2 linked regions of the Neurospora crassa OR74A genome follow. The protein of the gene in region 1 binds, or shares a complex with, the protein of each later gene. Links are inferred from orthologs where the notes say so. Each region holds a gene or a part of one and is shown on either strand. Other genes may lie near its edges.

What was found.
Region 2: the proteins of NCU16028 (region 1) and NCU05816 are in contact, whole or in part, in a cryo-EM structure (PDB 7Z10), measured with the Saccharomyces cerevisiae proteins. The link is inferred for Neurospora crassa OR74A from reciprocal best matches to the Saccharomyces cerevisiae genes COX2 and COX9. Residues at the interface, in NP_009326.1 of Saccharomyces cerevisiae: Cys23, Tyr24, Ser28, Ala29, Thr30, Glu34, Leu37, Glu38, Asp41, Asn42, Met44, Phe45, Leu48, Val49, Gly52, Leu53, Trp56, Met57, Thr60, Tyr65, Phe88, Gln212, Arg213; in NP_010216.1 of Saccharomyces cerevisiae: Ile10, Arg13, Asp17, Ile18, Leu20, Gly21, Phe22, Leu24, Gly25, Gly26, Met28, Ala29, Ser30, Trp32, Trp33, Phe36, His37, Lys40, Arg44, Phe47, Tyr48, Leu51.

Annotation. Positions count from the first base shown.
Region 1 is NC_026614.1:57,671-61,785, reverse strand, and holds NCU16028 (cytochrome c oxidase subunit 2), read right to left. Parts: upstream 2,258-4,115; coding exon 1,505-2,257; downstream 1-1,504. Other genes in the region: NCU16027 (ATPase subunit 9), read right to left, coding at 2,954-3,178. UniProt on the Saccharomyces cerevisiae protein: Component of the cytochrome c oxidase, the last enzyme in the mitochondrial electron transport chain which drives oxidative phosphorylation.
Region 2 is NC_026507.1:3,922,214-3,926,824, forward strand, and holds NCU05816 (hypothetical protein), read left to right. Parts: upstream 1-1,725; 5' UTR 1,726-1,966; coding exon 1,967-1,999; intron 2,000-2,144; coding exon 2,145-2,187; intron 2,188-2,472; coding exon 2,473-2,503; intron 2,504-2,626; coding exon 2,627-2,714; 3' UTR 2,715-3,083; downstream 3,084-4,611. Other genes in the region: NCU17277 (hypothetical protein), read right to left, coding at 3,102-3,342, 3,463-3,686; NCU05817 (hypothetical protein), read left to right, coding at 3,797-3,871, 4,204-4,611. UniProt on the Saccharomyces cerevisiae protein: Component of the cytochrome c oxidase, the last enzyme in the mitochondrial electron transport chain which drives oxidative phosphorylation.

The DNA of each region.
Region 1 (4,115 bases):
TGTATCCACCCCGGAGGGGTGGTTTACGTCTAAGACGCCTTGCGGCTCCAACATCAAACAATCTTTATTCAATGAGTCATTTTCGGGGGACCCCGCCCCCTTCGGGGGCGGGCCCATTATTTTATCCTCAACCGAAAGGATTAACTTTTTTCGCTACCCCCTCCAGCTTCGCTGGAGGGGGGGAAGAACGCGGAAACACCCACACCAGGAATCAACAAATTATTATACCCACTCCTGCAGTACTGCAGGGGTGTAGAAGGGTAACCACCCCCGATATGATAAAAGTATATAAAATACTTTTATCATATTTATTTATTTTTTTTACGATAAAAGTATAAAAATGTATAATTTTACCTTTTTTAACGGGGGCCTAGCCCCCCCCTTGAAGGGTACCCCACCGATATGATAAAAGTATATAAAATACTTTTATCATATTTATTTAGAACTACAAATATCTTTAACCCAAATAAAGCACCCCTCTCCTCCTGCAGTACTGCAGGGGCGGGGGGGGGTGCTTTCCAGTTAATGGGCCCCGCCCCCGAAGGGGGCGGGGTCCCCCGAAAATTAAGGGAAACCTTTCACCCGCCCTGCAGTACTGCAGGGGGGAGAAAATATTTAAATACCACCTTTCCCCTGCAGTACTGCAGGGGCTAGTAATGGATGACTACCATAAACTGAACCTAGAACTTAAATCTTTATTCGATGAAATCGATCTATTAAAAGGGTCCCCACAACGAAGTTGTGGGGTCCCCCGATTTAAGTTCGTAGGTTTATACACATGCTCCGCTGCCGGCCCCTCCCCTTCACCACCCTGCAGTACTGCAGGGGGATTAGAGTTATACCCTTACTAGATATACATAAACTTATTAATTACCTAATCGGGGGCTAGCCCCCGGTTCAGTCTTGGTAACTCTTTAAAAGGTTTTTGGATTTAAGCAAGGTTCCTTCCGCTAGGCTACGCCAGACTTCAGGAACTTGCTTGTTATTTTAACCCTTCCCCGCCCTGCAGTACTGCAGGGGGGGGGGCGGGTAGCCTTTTAAACCTAATTAACCTATAAAAATAATAATAATTAAAAGCACCCCCCTTAAGGGGGGGGTGCTTTCCAGTTAATGGGCCCCCCGCCCCCGAAGGGGGCGGGGTCCCCCGAATATTGTTTATAATATAACCCACCACCTCCCGGATGTTCCACTCCACTCGCTCCCCCCCGCAAACCTGCGGGGGGGGGAGCGAGTGGAGTTAATTCCGTTCCACTCCACTCCCCCCCTTAAGGGGGGGGGGAGTGGAGTTAATTCCATAAGTCATCCTCTTCATATTAGAAACTTTTTATCGCTACCCCCTCGCTCCCCCCCCGCAAACCTGCGGGGAGGGGGGGAGAGATAACCACTAGATGGCTTCATACTCAAATACATAGGGCCCCACGAATACCCCACACACCTTCGTGTGTGGGCCGTATTCGTGGGGTCCCCCGAGTTCCTTTATTTAGCCAAAAACTATTTTATCGTCTTACTGTTCTTCTAATCAAGTAAGGAATTTTTCTAGAGATACTGACTCTATAACTATAGGCATAGAACTGTGTAATATACCACAGATTTCAGAGCATTGACCATAGAATACTCCTTCTCTGTTAATAAAAACAGATACTTGATTTAATCTCCCAGGATAAGCATCACATTTAACACCTAAAGATGGAACAGCGAAGCTATGTATCACATCACCTGCAGTGATGATAAATCTAACGTGTGTTAGTTCAGGAAGGATAACTCTATTATCCACCTCTAACATTCTTAGTGCTCCTTCTTCCAAATCGGATTCCGGTACTATATATGAATCAAATTCTATAAATTCATCATTTGAATCTAAGAAATCAGGATATTGGTAACTTCAATATCATTGGTGCCCCTCTGCTAAAACTGACATTGAAGGATCACTAACTTCATCCATTAAATATAGCAACTTAAATGAAGGGAAAGCAATTAATATTAATATTACTGCTGGAGTAATAGTTCATATTAATTCGATTAATGTACCGTGATTTAAATATTTATGTGAAATTGGTGATTTTGTACTGATATAATTTCTTATTATAGATAATAAGATTCATCCTACACCAAATAGTATTACCACCAGATAGTACATAATATTGTCATGTAATTCAACTAAACCTTCCATCTGAGGAGTAGCACTATCTTGAAAATAGATACCTCATGGGCTTGGAGCATCAAAATTCATAATTAAATTATTAAATAATAATCCCATAAAAAAAGAAATAGAATATTCTATATTGAATATTAAACCATAATAATAAATATATTATATCTTTTCATAAAATATAGAATTTAAATATAACATTAAACTGTATTGTATATTAAGGCTAGGCTAATTCTTATCCACTAACGAAGTATACCCTGTGCCTAATGGGTTTTTATAGCCTGCTGCTCATAAGGTTAGGCTACGCTAGCGTCCTTTGTTTTTTCGGGGGACCCCGCCCCCTTCGGGGCGGGGGCCCAAAAAAATGAATTACCTTCGCTCAGCTTCGCACACTTCGCTCACTTCGCTCAGCTTCGCTCAGCTTCGCTCAGCTTCCCTCCCAAAAAAGTACCACCCTCCTCCACTCGCGTACCCCCTCCTTTGCTCAAGGTCCCCATCACATTTAATTATGCCCCCCTGCAGTATTGCAGGGCGGGGGAAAGATGGGGGCCGCCAAGGGGGGGGTTGAGTGGAGGAGGGTGGTCGCGATATTATGGCTAGCTAAATTATTAAGGCTGCTTCCTGCCTGCCTAGACTTCGTAGGCAGGAAGTAGGAGGGGGCCCCCCACGAATACCCCACACACCTTCGTGTGTGGGCCGTATTCGTGGGGTCCCTCGAAGCTAGCTAGCTAGCTAAGCAGGAAGAGCAGCCATATTTTTTATTTAAGCAGCCATACATCATTTTATTCCTAATCTCTATCATTACTATGCAACATAAAGAAGTAAAAAAGCCATCATCAAAGCAAATAATCCTGTCGCTTCCGAGAAAGCAAAACCTAAAATTGCATATGCAAATAATTGACTTTTTAACGAAGGGTTTCTTGAAACCCCTATTATTAATGAGCCAAATACAACTCCAATACCTATACCAGCTCCGATTAAACCTGTGGTAGCTAGCCCTGTTCCTATTATTTTAGCTACTTGTATCATTATATATACAATGGTGGAATCAAAAATTAACTAGAATCTAGTAACCTCTTCAATTCCACCACCGCAAAGCAGCAAATACCACTGAGGCTCCCGACAACAGTGTATTTACTGCTGTTGCAGTATATCTAATGATAATCAAGTAGCCATTAGGCTATCCCTAATGGCTACAATAATCATACGATAGCTAGCCAGTATATAACTGGCTAGCTATCGTAATCTTTAGTACATTACATATAAAGATTACATTACAATACATTACATTACATTACATGTAATGTAACATTACATTACAGTTACATTACTGTACATTATATTACATTACAGTTACATTATATTAAGTTACATTACAGTTACATTACAAAATATTACATTACAGTTACATAACATTAAGTTACATTAAGTTACATTACATTACATTAAGTTAAGTTACATTAAGTTACATTTTATATTATCTATCAGATGATTACATTTGCAGTACATAGTGGATATAACATTACATTACATTACATTACATCATTACATAGCATAATGTATCATCCATCATTCCCCTTACGTGATACGTACCAAATTAAATCACACATTAACATTATTAATGTTACATGGTGAAATAAATATTCATATTTATTTCATATTATTAAAGATAATCATTAAGTACGATTAGGATTAATCCTAATCCTAATCCGCACAGCTTAGCTCCGCTCAGACTAATATAATTAAATTAGTCGTCTATATATGCTATTAAAAATTTGGTTTATCGGTTATTTTTTTTTTAGCTAAAGCTAGCATTTTTTTTTTTAGCCTCTGGCCACCTCTTTAATTTTTTTTAGCTTCCCCCCCCTGCAGTACTGCAGGGCGGGGGGACGGCTAAAAAAAAAAATAAGCGCAAGCTATCCAGAGGCACGCCCCCTTCTCGAGGCACGCCACCCATGGTGGTGGG
Region 2 (4,611 bases), on another chromosome or scaffold:
TGTTTCATGATTAGCAGCGCTTGACCGTTGCGGGGAAAGCCTCATCCCCGCCCCCACAGTTCTCAACTTCTCGTGAGCGCCCGTCATCACACGCCTGTAACGCCCAGGGTTCAGGTCGGTCTGGGCTGCCCCGGGACGAACCCTTTCCCTTCCGTGCCGCGTACCTAGGCACCGAGTGCCCCCGAGAGCCCCGAAGGAGAACAACGCCCCGACGACCATGATCTTCACCTCATTTCATGTACGGTCAGAACAAGATGTTCGCAAGAAGACCGTAGCTTTTTACACCGCACGCCACAGAGTCTTCAACGGCGCTTCTACCCCCGGAGCCCTGATTGAGTGCATTGACGTGTTTGCTCCTTTTGGTGGCTGACGGGGCTGCTTGCACCTGGCAAGACATTAACTGTTACAGAAAGAAACAGGAGAAGCAGTTTGCCCCATCTTGATCAATGCCCTCGTAGATCAAATCGGTGCTCGACGTTGGGTCTCATGGAAAACGATGGGTTCTGTGAGTCGTTGTCATTTTTAAATTCTGAGAGGACGAAGAAATGGATGAACTTGCAAGAAATCAGAGACCCGGAAACTGCGTTGCGGGGTGATGCACTGACCACAACCAAGTGCCACGGTACATACCACCCTGCAGTCCTCTTTATATAAGTCTTGCAAGCACCTCCACAACATCAGGCGGACTGGCCACGCATCGGACTGATAATCAGTATAACCATGAAGAAAACGGCGAGCTTGGGAAATAACCAACCTGATTCTACACAATACGATAAATACTCGAGCTGACGGGGACGGATTACGAGTTCTCAGGCTCTGCTATCCTTCACATTCTGTCACTTGAGTCTCGAAGCACCTGCCCGAGACAATATCACCAAAGAGAATTTGCAAATTTGACTGACAACGTCTACAACGACTGTTTCACCAGGTGACTCCAAACAACAACTACGAAGCCGCCACAGTCCTGACGACGATACAGCTTTGAGGTGTCTCGCAGTCCGCCAAAAATTTCATCTATCGGTCTTGATTACGAACAAACTGTACATGTAGGTGTCCGCTTCGTTTGACCACCTCGATCTCTGGTTCGAATCCCTTCGATCCAATCGACAACAAAAATCTGTTTCTGAGCAACACCGCCAGTTGCAACTTTAAGAGTACAGGTGTCTCAGGAGTTCAGCCTCTACACCAGATGAAAGAAAATGGACTTTGAAAGCTGGAAGAACCTGGATATGAACACCGACACATGGTGATACTATTTCGGAATACATTTCCCGTTCATGGTTGGCCATACTAGCGACCTCCAACTCTCAAAATGAGCAGGCGTGTACACAGTCGGAATATCATCCATAGCGGACTCGGAAGGTAAGGATGCGCAGGGACACCAATTTTGAAGGATGCTTTGTGGTTGAACCTTATAATCCAACGGTTCTGAGACCTGGAGAGAGCGTGTAGTATTGGAAAGACATGCACAATAATGTGCATCTTGCCATAAAGTTGAGAAACGATGGACGTCATCGCGACTGGAAAGGCTGCCACCTTATCGATAAGTTCAACGCAGTGCTGCCGCTCCCCAGCCTTACGTAAGCCCACCACATACTGTGGTCGCGAGCGAAAGTAAAAACCCCCCTGTCAGGTACTTTTTTGCACGGACACTATGCGTTTAGTACCTACCCCACTTAATTAAACTTACCCATCACACCAAGTATGAAGGGAACGGTCCGTGATCCAAGATTTGCCGAAAACCCGCAGTTGCCGGCGCTCGCAAGCTTCCGTTCAGCAGCTGCGTCATCACGTGATATGAAGCTTGCAGCTCCCGTGCAGCGAAACCTCAGGTCATCCATTCGGGACAATCTTGAAGCTCCATTTTGAGAGAAGAGAGTTCCAAGCCGTCAAACCGCGCACCCTTCGCTACGATCCGCCCTTTTTTTTCGCAACCACTCAACCGAAACCAGCCCTCTTCGTCAAAATGGCCGCCACCGCTGTCAGACCCATCACCGGTGTACGTGATTTCCGAAGCCTGCGCAAAGAGGACGATTCAATGGCTGTTCGCGACGATGGATGACGGAATTGCGCAATGCCACCAGCGCTCGGGACAAGCTGGACTGGAATACAGGAGGACTAGGGGCTGACTGTTGGGTTTACAGATGCTCCGCCGGGGCCTCATCCTCGACATTGGCATTGCCCTCGGTGAGTTTGGAATTTCTGAATGATAAAAGAGGTGGTCTCTGAAATAAGGCGAAGACGGGAGGCGGGACACGGCGATGTGGAAGACAGAGCAAGAGCTAGGTCGAGCTTCGGCCGGCCGGTGGGCCGTGAATTGGCTACGCGCGCCAGTTACCTAGGATTGCCCACGGTCTCTCGTGCTGTCACCCCGCCATACCGACTTCCCGGAAGCCACCTCCTTCGTTGTTCTTTACCTTTCTTTATCACAAGTTCCCGATCAGCTGACCCTTTGTTTTCTTACTCTTTCAGGTGTCGGCTTCGTTATGGCCAACGGCTACTGGTACGACATATCCTCGATGAATCCTTGACTTTAGTTTGCACGCGACCCGAACCGAAGACGAACTCGCAAACAAATCTCCCGTGCCTTGACTCCGCGATGACTAACCCCTTCCATCACCCGCAGGTACGGCTACCACATGCCCCGCACCAACGCTCGTGACAACTACTACAAGAAGCTCGAGGAGGAGCGTGCTGCCCGCATGGGCGCCTAAATCGATCTACGGACTGGGCGACCGATGATGAAGAACGGAGACGACCTCGATCGATCGCGGAGATGAAGAAGTAACGCAATACTTGGAGCGATACCTGAGGAGGGGGAAGAAGAAGAAGGAAGAAGGAAGACTTGCATGTTGTATATCTACAGATGAAGACGGATAGACAAACATCGGCAATCGAGTCAGCCCGACCGATACGTATTCCTTACTTTCTCTTCTGCCTTGTGATAGACCATTTATAAAGGCCAGATGGTGGCCGGGTATTTCATAGACGGGACACGACGGGACGATGCAATGCAAAGCAACTAGAGATTAAGAACGGGATCCTCCTCGTTGGACACAAGACCAAGAAATTGTAAAAAGATGGGTATCAGAATAAAAACATCACTTTCTGTTCCACCATCTATCCTCCTTGTCGTCCTCTCTGCCCCATGTGCGATGATCGATCTGCTGGTGCTGCTCCTGCTCGGCCAATGAGCTTTTGTTGCTGGCCGATGTCGCTTTGGCTGCTGCTGCTGCTGCTGCTAACGATGACGATGATGATGTCGTTGCTGCCGCAGCCGCAGCCGCGGTGCCCTCCCAAGCCGTTGTCTCGACCGTAAAAGGCCCATTTTTGTCCCGGCATCTAGATGGTTTGGTTCCCCACGTCAATGTCAATGTCAACGTTTCCTTTTCCCTTTTTCTTTTTCCCCTTTTCTTCTAAAAATGCGACAAAGGGAATTTCCCCTTCCTAAAAAAGACATACCTGCGAAACAAGCGCTGCACTGGCCAACACTCAATCTGGCTCTCCCTCAACTCCGGGTCGCGCACCTGGCAGTCATACTGCAACAGACCAAAGAGCTCGCAATCCCGAAGTAGATCGATTCGTCGTCGACCACCGTCTTCCGTCTTGCGAACACGCTGATCGGGGCCGACTTGTATGTGGGTGGGCAAAGCCTTTGCTTTGAAGCTTTGACACGGCGGCGTCATTTTGTCTGTTTGTCTGTGGTGTCGTGGAAGGAGGGGTACTACTTGAGGTTTGGACGATGCGACGCGACTCGGAAAACAGTTCTTGAGGAAGAGAAACCCGCGAATCCGCGATGCAGAGGGCTGCTGTCGCTTCGGTCGTTGGGGCGCGGATGTTGAACGAGATTGAGGAGGGGAGTCTTGAAGAGGTAAGGTATGCTTTAGCTGATTGATGATCGATCGTCGTATCCCTGGATTCTACGCTTTTGTACAGGTGTTCCCGCGCGGGGCTCACTGGTGTCAATGGTTTTCGTTTGTTTGGGTTGTTGGAGAGAACTCCATGGAGGAGAGATGCCATCACGTAATTCCCGTCTTCCACCTTTTTGGTCCTTATCGCTGATACATGGTAAAAGTAGCCCACGCGCGGCTGTCCGGACGACGCGGTTTCCATTCTTCCCAACTTCCACTTCCCGTCTTTTCTCTTTCGTCGATAACCAAGTCATCATCATGGCTAACGATTTTTGTCGCATCACCATCACAGCTTCTAACATCGCTTCGCACAAACTTCACAACCCTCGCCAACTCCGACTTCAATGACCATGCTGCCACCCATGATGACGCCGACACCGACCACACCTCCTCCCAAAAGCTGGTGATCGCGCCCACAACCACAACCACCAAACCAGAACCGCGACACTTCCCAATCCCCTTCCTCAACGAGCTAGTCCAGCGCCATTTCCGCGCCACATCAACCGCCACCCTCTCCATCTCCGGCCGCCATTATGAACTGCTCTACCTCTTAGTCGCGACCTTGATCGCCCCTCCGCACCGCAAGACAGTCGCTATCCTTGACCTTGACGGTCGATTTGATCCGTTGCGACTACTTGCGACGACCACTCCGTTCTGCTCTCCCCCTACTGGTACCCCTAGTACCCATCACCTCGACCCG